Linked DNA regions of Drosophila melanogaster. The main gene of each other region encodes a partner of the protein of the gene in region 3 in a complex. Each region holds a gene or a part of one and is shown on either strand. Other genes may lie near its edges.

Region 1 (4,706 bases), on a different chromosome or scaffold from region 3:
ATTTGTCCGGGTCTCGTTGTTTTTTTTTTTTCGTCGCATCACCCTTGATGTCGTGGAACATGAATTGATTAAATTTGTGTTGATTTTAGGGCTGATAATGGATAATAACAGACTTTAATGGATAATAAACTATGGTAAAAACAAGGATTTTCTCGAAGAGATTCTAGAAATTCTGCTAACCAATAAAACAGCTCTTTCTCTAAGCAATCCACTATTGATTTCAATAGGTGAGTGGCCTAAAATGGAATCCTTTTCCCTCTCCATGAGCGCACAAAAGTTTACACCACAAATTAGAAGAACATTACACGCCCAATCCAGTTTCCCTTGAAGGACATGCTCACATCATACAATTAATAATGGTTAATGCATAAACCAGAATCAATTTTTGACAGAAGTTGGATTGAAGTGTCTCTGGTCAGCTGCCCTTGCATATTTCATTTCCTAAAACTTCGGTGGCATGTGTCCGGATCCGAAAATAATTCAACGCCCCCACGACCCCAAAATTATGAGTCGTTTTTGGAGAACTGTTCAAAGCAGTAACGCCCCATTTTCCGGCTGAGGCTATTTTCAGACCTGCTGCCATCCATCCATTCACTTTGGCATCAATCAATTGCCCTGCCCAGGGGAAAAACTTTTATGCTACTCGGGCACTTCTCCTCACATCTAATTTGTTAAACATTTGCTGGGGAATTGCCTTTTTCACACGCCCCTTGAAACACGGTGTGTGTTTTCCTTTCGAATTTTTCCCTCTTGCACTGTGTGAAATTAATTAAAACTTAATTAATTGCAAACTCCGCTGCACCAAAGAGACGACAGACAGACTAATGAGTAGGGGGATGGGATTAAGGTCTGAGTTCAACTGCAGGACTCATTCGACATGCTGAGAAAAAATTAATCAGCCGGTACAGTGAAACAATGGAAAGATTTTCGCATGAAACAATGGAAACTAATTATGTATAATGGAAACAATTGAATAAGATTTTGTATAACAATTATTTAGATTTATTGATTAAAAATAAACAAATATTATAAAAGGACTTCAAAAAAGAACTTCAAACAATAAAAAATTTATGAATCATCAATGCACAAACTCTTGCCATCATAAATCATTGATATAAAATATACATTTTAATGCAATATTGCTAAGCAGCTTATACGATATCTCATGTATATATTTTAAAAAATATATAGTTTTAAAGCAAATCCTTAAAAAGGATCTGATCCCTGATCTCTAATTTTTTTGCCTGCAGAAACCTCTGTGTGCGACTTCAATCAGAAGTGGCTGCTGCTGACATGCTGCTCCTGTTGGGAATCCTGGCTGGAATCCTTGGCCACTTGTCACTGTTGCCTCCGTAATGGAATTAGGGAGGGGCCAGGGGTTCCAGAATGTGCGAACCAGGAGGGCCAGGTTCTCGAGGGAAGGATTCGGGATTCAGGGACGGAGTCTGAGACTCCTGCCAACGTCAGCAATGTCTCTCAAAAGTGTTAACGCACTCAATTGCTACTATTCCCATCTCCTTCGTTGCCACTATCCCCCCTCTCTTTCTGAGAGTCCTCTTGCCACTCTTTCTAATTGTAAGCGTCTGCATTTTGCCTCTCAGCTTGGGGGCAGTGTCTGCTCTAATGTTTAGTAACTGTGATTAGGAGGCAACTCTAGTTCCGGGTGGGCTTAATTTGCCCTACCCACACCCACCCAATGCCCGTGGGCAATCTTTGCTTTTGTTTCTGCCCCATTGTGTGCCGGTTAATTCCTGCTGTATGAATATTTTATTGAGAAAGGGTTTCACATTTTATTGGCTACATGGCATTATGTGCGAGAACAAAGAAAGGAAACAATTTAATTGTGTTTGGGGATGTCAGGCAAGGATTGCACATAAGCTCGTGGCCTCAAAAGTTGATACCACAACACAATGGTGCTGGGGCGGGCAAAAGTAAAATCGTTGAAAAGCCAAAGTGCTTGGCACTCGACAAAACTTTTCCATCAACAACTGCAGTTGAGACAAGCGAAAGTTTTTTCCCAAGGAAACTTAATTTTCCCCAACAGCCACAACATCTTATCATACCCATACGAGAGATATATTTCGGTTCTTGCGGCGACGCACATTGCGCATACGCACTGTGATCAGTCTGTCGTAAATTTCAATGCACACTTGTTTTCCGTTAATATTTTATGGGTTTTCTATTAATTTTTGTCACATTCTTTTAGTGTCTCCCCTCGGCCGGAATATTAGATTACACAGAAATGAATGTATTAACGCTCGATATTTGTGGCAGCGCTTTTTTTGTTTTGACGCAGATCAAAGATGGTTTGGTTCTGTTTTTTGTTTGGCATTTGTGTGTTGTTTTAATTTGTTAATTTGTATTTGGGGTCTGGGCTCCCCTTTGGCGGTCTAAATATAAAACAACTTAATTTGCTGCATGCTAATGAGATGGCCAAGGGGCGGGGCTGGAGGACGTTGTGTGGGCGTTTAACACTTTTATAATTTGTTTGTCCGCAGACAGAATTCTTTTCCTGCATTTTTTCTGGCCCCACATTTGGCAAGCAGCTGACACGCACCGAATTTCGTTAGATTTCTGATTACTTTTCTTTTTTAGGTGTATAATTTTTGGAGACGATGTCGTAAAATATTCGCGTGCCGAAAGCGTTTTAGCTTAACAATAAGAGCAATAGCAGCAACAGCAGTAACAGTAACTGGAATAACAAAAAAAAAGCGACAAAAGGTCATTCAATTTTCGACTGCCGGCAATGGGGCAATGAGGCTTTTCCTGCGTTTTCACACGTTTTCCAAAATTTACGACCCAATTGTGCCCGCTTTTCTTATCCGTTTGCACTCACACTCTCTAGCCTCGAGTCACAGAAACACACGCACATGCACACACACACACATACACTATAGTCCGGAAAATGTCGCGCCTCACGTATTTGGGCCTCACATTTCCCTCAACTTTTTATTCGGATTTTCACGCGCTTTTCCGCGCCTTCGCCTTTCGTTCACCGTCGATGTCGCGCTGAAACTGAAACAGAAACTGAAACTGATTTCTGGCAGCAGTGGAGCATTTGTTGGGGCCTCCGGGGGGGATTCCCGAACTCATACGAGCCTTTATCAGCGACGCTTCGGGTTTGTTGTCTTCGGCTCGGGAAAAGTCGTTGGAAAAGAGGGACGGAAAAATCGTGTGCCGAGCATTTCAGCTGAATTCGCCGCATTTATCTCTCTTAATTTCCTCTTCTCTTTTAATCACAACACTATGTTCACTTTCAAGGTCTTACAATAAAAGGTTTCAAATAGTTTTGGAAATCCGCGATTATTTTTTTAGTGGCAGCAGGGTGTTTTTTGAGGTCGAATTATGTTCGCAAAGCAAATAAAAGCGGACTTTACGATCCTGTTTTTAAGGGGTTAAGTTAATTTTAATGCAGTGAAGTTAAGTGACACGTAGGGATTCCAGTTCTTAAAAGCAGAGTAATATTTCAGTTTATGTTTCAGCTAGAGTGCTTTATTATAGGTCTCTTAAAAAAAAATAATCTAAGCCATTTTAGTTGAAACTTGAAATAAAAAGAATTAATCCGGTTGAGGGAGTGAAGGATCATAAAAAGAACATAATCACTATAGCAAAACCCAAAAACAACATAATGTCTTATTGATCCCATTTATTTTTTACTTGCTTATATGCTTACTTAACTGAATTTAGGAAACTATGTTATTTCATATACTTCCATAAGATCCTAAGTTCAATTTTAATAAATGAGAAAAGTTATAATATTTTTCCCAAGAACATATTCATTTATTTTAGATAATTTAATATTAAATTATCATTATTATATACGCTTTGTGCATGCTACGTTCTCATTTATTTATATTTAGGTACTTCGTCTCTATAAGGGAAGCAAACCGTCTGCCTTGGACAATATCTTGAGCAAGACTGACAGACTTAGGTCAGTATCAAAGAGAAATTGTATGGAATTTGGCAAAGAGTGCGCATGCACTGAACAATTCTTTGGTGCTCTTAGACTAGCTCTTCCACGATTTAACAGCGAATTGGATAATATGGCCAGAAGGCAGGGATTTCAATAATATACACTGAAGCTGGCACAAAAAGAGCTAATGACAATATAAATTCGCGCGGCGTATGGATATGCGTGGCAGATGGGAAACTGTGTAGCCGGCTAAGGGATTTCCCGCTCTTTGAAGGGAATGCGGTATCGGGATGATGAAAATCCGGGAAAAGTGGCGGGGTGCAAGCCAGCTGACAGCAGTTATCGCTGGAGCGAAAGGCAGTAATTAGCGTAAATTGAGTTGGTAAAAAGCGCAAGTGTTCAAAATCCACCCACTCAGTTGTGTGACACCCGCACCACCACCCCACATGCCTAGAACCAGCCAAAAACCTCGCCTGCGGCCTTGGGCTTTAGTTGTCCCTTGTTTTTGCGGCTGCTTGTGCTGCTGTGCTGTTGTTGATTATGTGGCAATTAGTTGTCGCTTTTGTGGCAAGCCACGCGGCACTTTCAATCAGAGCATCTTATTCCGACAGCCACATAATGCCCATCCAGGTGGGGCTTAGTGAGCTAATTAAACAAGCCGATTATGGCCCGACATTCCGCTGACCTTGGCCACCTCATGCTGCCATTCAGCATCCACCACCCGCTGTGAGTCCATCTCGGTAAAGTTTACCACAACTCCTAACCAACTCGAGCGCAGAACATTTCTCCAGTT
Region 2 (4,600 bases), on a different chromosome or scaffold from region 3:
ATTTAATTTCGAGTAAATGAATTATAAATGCAATTTGCTGGCAGCTCTATTTCTTGTTTTGCCGCCGCCTTACTTATGATGCGTCTTTGTCCTCCGATGGCCCAGTCGGAGAATTAATTACGCCGCTGAAAGTTGATTCCCGCCATCCCGACGGGGATGCGGATCCGGATGCGGATGCGGAAGCCCTTGTGCCAATGCGACCACAACTGACCCAGTTGTTTAATTGAATTGAAGCCATAAACACTTGGAGTAGAACGACCACAGCCGCACAAAACGAGAACGCGTCGGGAATGAAAAATGGCCACGGCCAGGAGCACTCGCTAAATAACCTTAATTAGTAGTGCGAGTGCGGCCATCAATCACCTTTGCTTGCCTGCGTCAGAGAGAGAGATGACCAGAGAGCCGGCCAGCGGAAACGGAAATGGCAAGCGGAAACGCCAACGGATGCCACGTGGCCATTGCTAAGCATTTTGACAGCTGCGCCTGTCGCCTATGCAACAAAACACAGATACATTGCTCTACAGCGGATCAATAGGCATTCAAGTCTTATTAACTTATTACTTAAACTATCCTACAAGCATCATGCAAAAGTTCTTTGAAATTGTGGTCTGGCTATGAAACAAGCTTATGGATAGAACAAATAAATAAGATTATATGTTTTAGAGAATGTTGATTTGCCTATGTATATCGGAATTTCTTCAAGACAATACTTTTCTTATTTGTATTCATGTTCTAAAAATTAAGGAAAGGAAAAAAAAATAGAAAGGAGGAAATTAATCAAATTGCTAATTTCATCAACGTGGCTAGAAAAAGCAGCATTAAAAAAAACAAAAGCAGATGCGGTACCCTGCGCTGCTCTGCAAGAAAGCTGGCGTTTTTCAGCGAGTGGCAAGCAAAGTTGTTGACATCTTGTGAGCCAACACGTACCGCCAGTCGGCAGCAACAAAAACACACAGAACAGCACACAAAAAGTAGTAAACACTTGACGGGAGCAGCAGAAACAACACGAACAAACAGCCAGTAGTGCCAAAGAGAAGGAAGGACCAGAACTGAAGCTACGGCAAATGTTTGCTTAAAAATGATGCGAACCCCTACGAAAGAACAAGAATTTCGAAATGGGATGGGTTTTTGGATGGTTTTCTTGGTGGGCGGGGTAGATTGGGGGACTGGCGTTTGGGGATCGGATGCTTCTGCTGCCACTGACAGATGCAAGACGCGTTGACAGTGACAAAGACAATGATGACGACGACGACGATGGTTATGTTTGGGGCTCATCATCAGCAGGGCGATGAGGGGATGTTGGGATGGAGGCCAGCATTTGGCATAATCCTGCTGACAAAATGTCATTACACCATCCACACATAGTGGAGTTGCCTTTTGAAGTTTTCGGCGAAGGCGGAAAAGGCACTGCAAACTTAAATAAATAAATATGCCTTCCCGCTGACAAGTGAGGAAAAGTTCGTACAGATAGCATGTGCGCTGAAGTCTGTGTATTTTCATATCAAGGGAAAATAAGTTTTCAAGAGACATTTGCTCAAATTACAGTCATATTTAAATAACCCGAGAAATTGTTGGCGTTACTTCTGGCATTCTTGGCAAATTACTGCGAATGGATTTTTTGTGAGTTACTTGCATAAATGTATAGAATATGATAAATGTGATACAGTACCGCATTATCTATCTGTTTTCATTTAAACTTTATGTTATCTAGCCTAACACGTTATATATTTTTTTTCAATATAATTTGATGGAAACTTTGCAATAATTGGTGTAATGTAGCTGGTACCTTTTACTGCAAAGTGCCCGCCTAAATCCTGTTGACTTACCACAATATTTTTCGAAATAGTCCTTTTGCCGTAGTCTGGAGTCTGTTGCAGCTGCAGTTATTCCACTTTCCCCGAGGATCGCCAGTCACGCGAGTGGCCCAGTCATTGACAAATGGCCAGAGAACTTCTATTGTTTTATTTTTATTATATTTTACTTCTCTTCATTTTCAGAGCACTTTTCAATTGAGCTTTCTCCCGCTTCCCCGCGGAATTTGGCCTAGTTTGTTGTCTGCGATTTGGTGTTGTTTTCCAAATACATATTTATGTATGTATGTATGTGGGTTTTCCCCTGGCTTTGGTAGGCCTGCAGTTTTGAGTTACTTGGCACTTGGCTAATGCTTTTGTCTGCTTTTCTTCTGCTTTACTATGCTTTTCTTATGCTTTTTTCATGCTTTTCTGCCAGACGGGCGACGCAGTGTCTTTGCTTGCACTTGAGGAACCGTTATCTGGGTGGTGTACGAGTGTGCGAGTGTGTGTGCGCTTTTTTGTGTGGTTGAATTAGCGAGTGAGACACGAACTTTTGACCCCGTTTCGACAATAACAACACGAGAAGAGCAGAGGCTTGGCTTCCATTCTCCGGCTTTTTGAACCACTGGCCGGCTTTTTGGCTTTTCAACACCAAAAGCGCTTACATTTATGTCCGTGACTGTTTTGAGGGTTCTGAGGATTGCCCGAATGAAGGGTTTGCTGAAGTGCCCTGGCTTTTATTGATTTAGCAAGGCGTTATAGCCCGCAAATATAATACAAATCAGGCTCTCATTCGATTGGGGTTATCAATTGGCTTTAACTTTCGCATCAATAAAGTATGTTTACCGTTGGAACTTTAAGCACTTTCCCTCAACACATTCACAGTTCCATATGTTTAACGGCGCTTTTCACTAACGAATTGTTTATTGTTTGTTGTTTCCGCGTTTTTTATTGATTTGGCAGGGCGTTTTTTCCACAATCATAATAAATGCCAGTCATTTCCCGTTAGTTTTTTATAACCCATCAGTAGCAGTAGCACTACTTCCTTCGTTCTTCCTCTTCTCCCGTTGTAAAGAGTGGTTTTACCGTTAGGGTTTTATTAGCACTTTTCACTACAATAGCTGAAGTTCCGATTTGGGTTTTGCGCACGTTTTACGTAGCTAGCCGAAAACTGATAAAACATCCGCATACATGTTGTTTTTGCTCAGCCAGCGCCTCACGAACTGAGTTTAAGAACGGCGAAATACGCGAAAAGCCAGCATCTCAGCTCAGCTGTGATTGCGGTACTTTCGCTCTCTCTCTTTGGCGCCATCCGGAAAAGTACCGTACTCCACGTGGCTAGCGAACAGCTGTTGCCGCAGATGTTCCACTGAGCATGCGCAAAAGGAGCTCGCCGCGGGAAACTGGGAAATTAGAAAGCTCCGTTACTGGAAAATCGGTTTAGTGGGAACGGTTGCTAGCTATTTTCATATGCCATAAAAGTTTCTCCACCAACACGACACCTACAACTTGATGGCACCCAAAAGTTGGCGCGAAAGTCAACACTTCGCACATAAAGACATCTTTCCGCTTGGCCAACTTTTCGGGCCAACAAACTTTTCACATTACAAAAAGCGCACATTTTTTAACCCACATTTGGCATAAATTTTCGCATTACTTGGGTTAACCAGAGCTCTAGCACAAAAGAATGGTAGATATTATAAATTATTTGGGGAGTTTAGAAAACCACTCTCTTCTAAAACTCTACTCAAAATAAAATCAAAAAATTCGTCTTAATAGGTGTTTAATGCATTTATGCATTTTAGATTGGCAATTAGAAACAGAAACCGTAAATAGTATTATTATTACTGATTTAATGGCCTTCAAACCCTTTATTGTTAAAAACATTATCTTTTTGTCATTACTTTTGTTTTAATTTTAGTTACGTTTTTTATTGTTAAATAATTACAAAACCCTAATGCACAAAAATGCAAAAAACGTCGAAGCCAGCAAGCGCCGGCAGCGAAAGTGTTCAGCAACAATGGCCATCGTGACCGCTGTGGTTGTGCGAGTGGCCATGTCCGCCGGATCTGTGGACCGCCTTCTCCTCCTCCTCGCCTGACTGCTTCGCAGCCTTGGCCTGATCCTCATCGGCAAACTCGCTGAGGTCGCGTCGCATGGCATATGCATCCTCGCCATCGGCATAGTACTTGGGCTCCACCTCGATGATCTTGAACTTGAGGGCGTTGGTGTAGAGGTTCAGGGCAGCCCGATTGCTCTTCCTCACGTGCAGGGACACGTACTGGGCATTGAAGCACTCGACCATGGCCTGGGAGGCCTGATTCATGAGCTTCTGGGCCAGGCCCAATCGCCGATAGGAACGCTTGACCGCTAGCGAGGTGATGTGCCCATGGCGGCTCTCCTCATTGGGCTCCGGCTCCTCCATCTTGGCCAGGACATAGCCCACAATGGCGCCCTTGTCGTCAACGGCCACGTAGCTAAGCTGAGGCCAGGTTAGTCCGTGGTAAAAGTAGTACTTCATCTGGTAGTTTTCGGGTAGACACAGCAGATTGCAGTGCTGCATGGTCATTAGGTCTTCCGGTTTTGCGCAGCGGATGTTCATGGTGAGGCTGTGTAGATGTGCTTCCTAGTCTCGGCGAGCTTTCCTGGCTCTGCCGTGGTGGTGTGGCTGTTGATTCTGATGATCCCAAGCAAGTGGTTGCTGATCCTCCGGCTCCTCCTGACCCAACAGCTCTCGAACCAGACGAAATTTCGATAGAAACGCCTTCCAGATGAGGAACCAGCCTGCAAAATAGACAAATTTCAAT
Region 3 (4,777 bases):
TCAAGTGCCACAAGAATCTAAAAGTACGCAATTTTAACTGGAAGAATTTTAAGTCTCAAGGATTTTGGAGGCGGATTTAATGAAAAATTAATGATATTTATAAATAGCAATTATCAAAAATAATAATTGAAGTGAGAGAAGCATATTTTTTTTTTCTGTTATTTCACCGTGCATGCGTGCAAAAAATCGTGGTTACGGCCGGTGCTGTTGGTATCAATTAAGTCACTCGTGGGACGGCAACAGAATGGCCATTAATGGCGCTATCTCGCTCCCGCCATTTGGCCATACTGCGGTTTAGCTTACATTTCACATCCGGTGGGCGGGCGTGGTCCTTGGGGGGCGGGGCGGTGGGTGTCGGTGTTTGGCAATTAATTTGCATATCATTGATATGCACACACAGTAACAAACACGCACATGCACATTATATTTGCTTAGGATTATTATCGGTTATTAATGTTGCTGTAATTGAAAATTATTTTCACTTTTATGTTTATCATTATCAACTGCCATTTTACATCCTACATCCAGCATTTCCATCTGCGGCATTATCGTCGCATGGGAATTATTGTTTGCCGTGATTTAAGTGCTTTAAATATGCACATCTGCATGCATGTATGTATGTATGTATTTCGTATTTATGCGAACCGAGCCCACGAAGCGTGGGCCACGTCCATGCATAATTATCAACATTATGGGAATAGTTTTGCTACTAGTTGGACTTCCTGAGGTTTTGTCGAGGCATTTTCGCACCATTGACACGTGTTAAATAATAGATTTTGATCCAAAGGCTGGTCGGTTCATATTTTAAATAACCTTTAATATTAAGCGAATTGTAATATTTTAAAACGATTTTGTACAAACATTTTGGTATTGGTACAAGCATTTTGAACTGCATAAGTATTCGGTTCTCAATTTATATGCCATAATAAACAGTTTAGCACGCATTGTTCTTATAAGTGCTGGCTTGTCTATTAAAGTTTTATTGAGTCATAATAAAGCTGATTTCGGAATTAGTTCGGTTAACAGCCCCACCGATTTTGGAAAATCTACTTCGGCCCATTCGGAAAGCCCCAAGCGAATCAAAATTAATGATACGATTTAACCACATTGACTGGGGAATAAAACAATGGGCCAACTGTTTTTAGACTGAATCGCAAACAATAAAGACCGTGCCGTAAATATTTAATGCGAGGAAGGAAAGTATTTGTGATTGTCGCGCCGACGTGAACAATTTGGCACTTCATTTTTTATAATTATCATACGATGGTCAGACAATCGGAACAGCAATCACCGGCGGCCAGGTGAAAATTTGCCCAGGGAATATTGTGGTAAGGGGGGGGGAGGGAGTAACGGCGGGAAAGTGGGCAAGGTGAAAACATAATTTTTGCACAATTAAAATGAGGCGAGAAATATGTGCGCACGATTCAGTGACCAGACAGTGTATCGCTAAAATTAAACGACATCTGAAGGTAGTTTTAATGAAAGAGACAAACATTTGTTCAACAAACATTTTAAAAATCTTAATAAAAATTGTATTTACTATCATTACCGGCTATCATTGTGTTTTAAGCCGCTCTATAGTTTCGAAACATACTGTAATCGCGTTGAACAGATTTGGCTCGAATCCTGATATCAGTGGGATCAGTTCTGAAAATGTGAGTGCAGATGTAAATGTAAATGTAAGTGGATGAGTGAGTCAATTAAATCGCCATTGAATGGTCAGCGTTCAGTTTTCGATGTTGCGCGTTGTCTTTTGTTTATTTATTTATTTGTTTGTTATTTATACGTTTTAATGCCCAATGGCAATGGCAACAATGCAGCGGGCAAAATGCAATATGGAGAATGGTATCCATGACAGTGCATTAAGCAGTCTCCAGCAGTTATTAATCGCCTGTTTTCCCCGCTCTACCTATCATTTAGGGGTTTCAATAGGGCGCCGCAATACGGCGAAACAATTATCAAGTCGGTTTGCGTTCGCTTTCCCGCCGGATTGCGTCCGTCCGTTCGATTTCCGTTTCCGTCGCTGCACAACACTGATTGCAGGGTTGCATTCGGGCAGAATGCGGCTACGATAAACACCTGATAAGCTCCCGATAACTCCTATAAGCACTCTTCAAACGGATCAGGCCAAAAGCCAGCTCACTGACCAGATCTGAATTTTTTTTTAATGTAATACTTTGGTTGCATTACGCAGCACCAAAAATTAAGTTTTCAGCTGATTGAACAAGTTTAACAGATTTTTATACTGAAGTATAGTTGATAAATTTTTATTTTTAATTGATGCAGAATATTTCTGAATTCTTTTTAAATGAGCGGACCGACGGTAATTAAAACGATCCGCTTTGAAAATATTACATACTAAAACAAATTAAACTTTGAATAAGAGAATATTTTATTTATGACCATTTTCCAGCTTTTTAGTATTATTATCAGCGTCGATTTTTAAGTAGTACTTTACTTTATAGGTAATAAGTTTGTCGGAAACTTTTAACAGTTTCTAGGTGAAGAATTTATGAAGAAACTATGACAGACCAAAAATCAATTTACTCGAATTGTAAAGGAATTTCTTTTCGGCCTTGGGTTTTTTTTTATTTTCAATTCGAAATATTGTATTAATCAAGAACACACGCAATAGTTTTCAACATTTTGTACAATCCGTTTTTCGATATTTTTTTAATGATCTAATGATCCTTTTACCTTCCAGAAGCGAAACGATGAGCAGCAGGTGAATCAACATTTTGCCATTCCGATCGCAGCTGGTGAACTGAAAATTCCGAAGTAAGCGTTTCGCCGAGACTGGCATTTGGTTTCAATAACTTCACAAACACAAACACATTTGCGATCGTCACGCGGAGAAAAAAAAAACAGTTTCACTGCACTAAAAAAATGTTAAAAAAAATATTCACCCAAATGTATATGCTTTAGAGTATTTTTTTTTTTTTATATTAATAATTATTTCTTAAAGACGCGAGTATTCCGAGAGTGCAGCTTCGAGTTCCGTTTGACTGTTTTTCAACCAGCCGACAGCGCCGACGTTGATCAACTGAAGATGCAGCTGCCGGAATAAGCATCCTGTGGCCTCGAGGACGACCGAAAACGAACAAATCGACGGCACCGAAATGGCACGAGCTTCGAACGAAGCGACACGAAGTCCTGTCGTAATCGTTAGCCGTTGGATACTGTAAAACCGAACAGCCGTCCCGAATGTCCTGCTGACGAACCCTCGTTGCCAATTGTCGAAGTGGATGTTCGAATCGAACGCCGTCCACCATGTGCCGAATGCGATCCACATGGCGGGCACGTGGTGGAACGCATAGCTCTTAGATGCCGGCGGGGGGATGTCCTGGCGGCGCAGGCGCCGTGTCCTTCGGAGGAGGAGTGTCATCCACATTCGTCTGACAAATGGTACGACAATTGCTACAAGCTGTGGTGGCATTTGGCCACCGCCTGGCAGAATCTGAATCTCCTGCGACCACAGCGTCCAAATGGAGTGACAGGAGGGTCCGCGCGTTGGGCGCCAGTTGTGAAGAACTCGAGATTGCGACAGGTCCCTGGGATACAACATTTCACCAAGAACTCAAGTCGAGTTAGTGAGACCACTAAAAATTTCAGCAAGCACTATGTGCTATATATGTGCACCTTTCTTTAGAAAGCCTCATCGCAATGGGCCTCATCAAAGGTTAAGGGCTACCGATTTTGCTAACCGATATAATTTCCACGCAGATAATACAGTTTTATAATAATATTATTGCTAATAGTGACATGCAAAATATCTAACCAAATACTTTTATGTCACAGAAAACGTAACCCTACGATTTGAAACAAATGAAATGATATATTCTCAGCTGCAGATCAATTACTTGATTTGCATTATTGAACCCTGACTTTTGTGCCAAATTTGTTGGTACAACCACTTAGCCACATTCCACATCGATTTACGTATGCAATTTGGTCTACAAAATGCGCTTGAATCATTTTGAGTTTCGCATATGCATGGCCAATTACTTTTCCCGGAGGTCCTCATAAGTTGTCCGTTTCGAACTGGCCTCCAGCTGACATTCGGTGGTTGATCAACCACCCCAACAATACCCCATTTCCATTTGGCCATCGAAAGGAGCAACTTTGCCAGCGTTGGGCGGAAAAAGTTTCGAAGTGCATTCTGCATTCTGTCAGATAAGCAGGCGACACAATCCCAATCGAAATCCCAATTGACATAATTTTCAATATTTCAATGTCGGGAAAATAGGTAGATTGCACTGGAATTTAATTGAACTTTAACTGTCAGTTTTTTGGGTCCTCAGAGGCGTCACAAATTCGCTGGGGGAGGGACCACATCTTTGGCCACGATGTGACAGGACCGAAAGTCAGGGCTGTCAAAGCTATCACAAAGTGGCTTAATTATCCAATAGACGCTAGATTCTAAATGTCAGCGGATGCCAGTCATCTTAAATTGTGGATAGTGTCTTCAACTTTTCCATTAAATAACTCAATTACGCCTCAGACTTTTGCTGATGAATGGGTCTGGGGTAGAGAAATGGGGCTGAGGCATAATTATGCCATTACGCAATTTTTACCACCCGATCCGCTTAAATGAATTGCAGCTGCTCCGCCATCAGCTGAAATGCGCTGCAACAAATCAAAGTGCGATTCCTTGAATGCCACGACGAAAACTTTTCGGCAATTATCCACAGGAAAAGCGGAGAATAGCGAAGAAAATCGTTGAAAGTGCGAGGAAAAAAGTTTGATAGGAGAATTTAAAATTACCAGAAAGCTTTGA

What was found. The genes of interacting proteins can lie anywhere in the genome.
Region 1: the proteins of DIP-alpha (region 3) and dpr10 are in contact, whole or in part, in a crystal structure (PDB 6NRQ), measured with the Drosophila melanogaster proteins. Residues at the interface, in NP_001259218.1 of Drosophila melanogaster: Tyr71, Arg72, Val73, Gly74, Leu76, Ala78, Thr80, Lys81, Ala82, Ile83, Ile86, Ile91, Thr92, His93, Asn94, Met123, Gln125, Leu126, Asn127, Thr128, Asp129, Met131; in NP_001261676.1 of Drosophila melanogaster: Asn82, Lys83, Thr84, Ala86, Ile88, His90, Asp92, Leu93, His94, Ile95, Val98, Tyr101, Tyr103, Thr104, Thr105, Asp106, Glu136, Gln138, Ser140, Gln142, Val144.
Region 2: the proteins of DIP-alpha (region 3) and dpr6 are in contact, whole or in part, in a crystal structure (PDB 5EO9), measured with the Drosophila melanogaster proteins. Residues at the interface, in NP_001259218.1 of Drosophila melanogaster: Tyr71, Arg72, Val73, Gly74, Leu76, Ala78, Thr80, Lys81, Ala82, Ile83, Ile86, Ile91, Thr92, His93, Asn94, Met123, Gln125, Leu126, Asn127, Thr128, Asp129, Met131; in NP_001261675.1 of Drosophila melanogaster: Asn102, Lys103, Thr104, Ser106, Ile108, His110, Asp112, Ile113, His114, Ile115, Val118, Tyr121, Tyr123, Ser125, Asp126, Glu156, Gln158, Ser160, Gln162, Val164.

The regions. Positions count from the first base shown.
Region 1 is NT_037436.4:10,183,089-10,187,794, forward strand, and holds the start of dpr10 (defective proboscis extension response 10), read right to left. Parts: upstream 3,021-4,706; 5' UTR 2,837-3,020; intron 1-2,836.
Region 2 is NT_037436.4:9,973,071-9,977,670, reverse strand, and holds the start of dpr6 (defective proboscis extension response 6), read right to left. Parts: upstream 3,021-4,600; 5' UTR 1,827-3,020; intron 1-1,826. Other genes in the region: vnc (variable nurse cells), read right to left, coding at 3,805-4,395; CG42455 (uncharacterized protein), read right to left, coding at 4,420-4,577.
Region 3 is NC_004354.4:3,527,618-3,532,394, forward strand, and holds the start of DIP-alpha (Dpr-interacting protein alpha), read right to left. Parts: upstream 3,049-4,777; 5' UTR 2,804-3,048; coding exon 2,698-2,803; intron 1-2,697.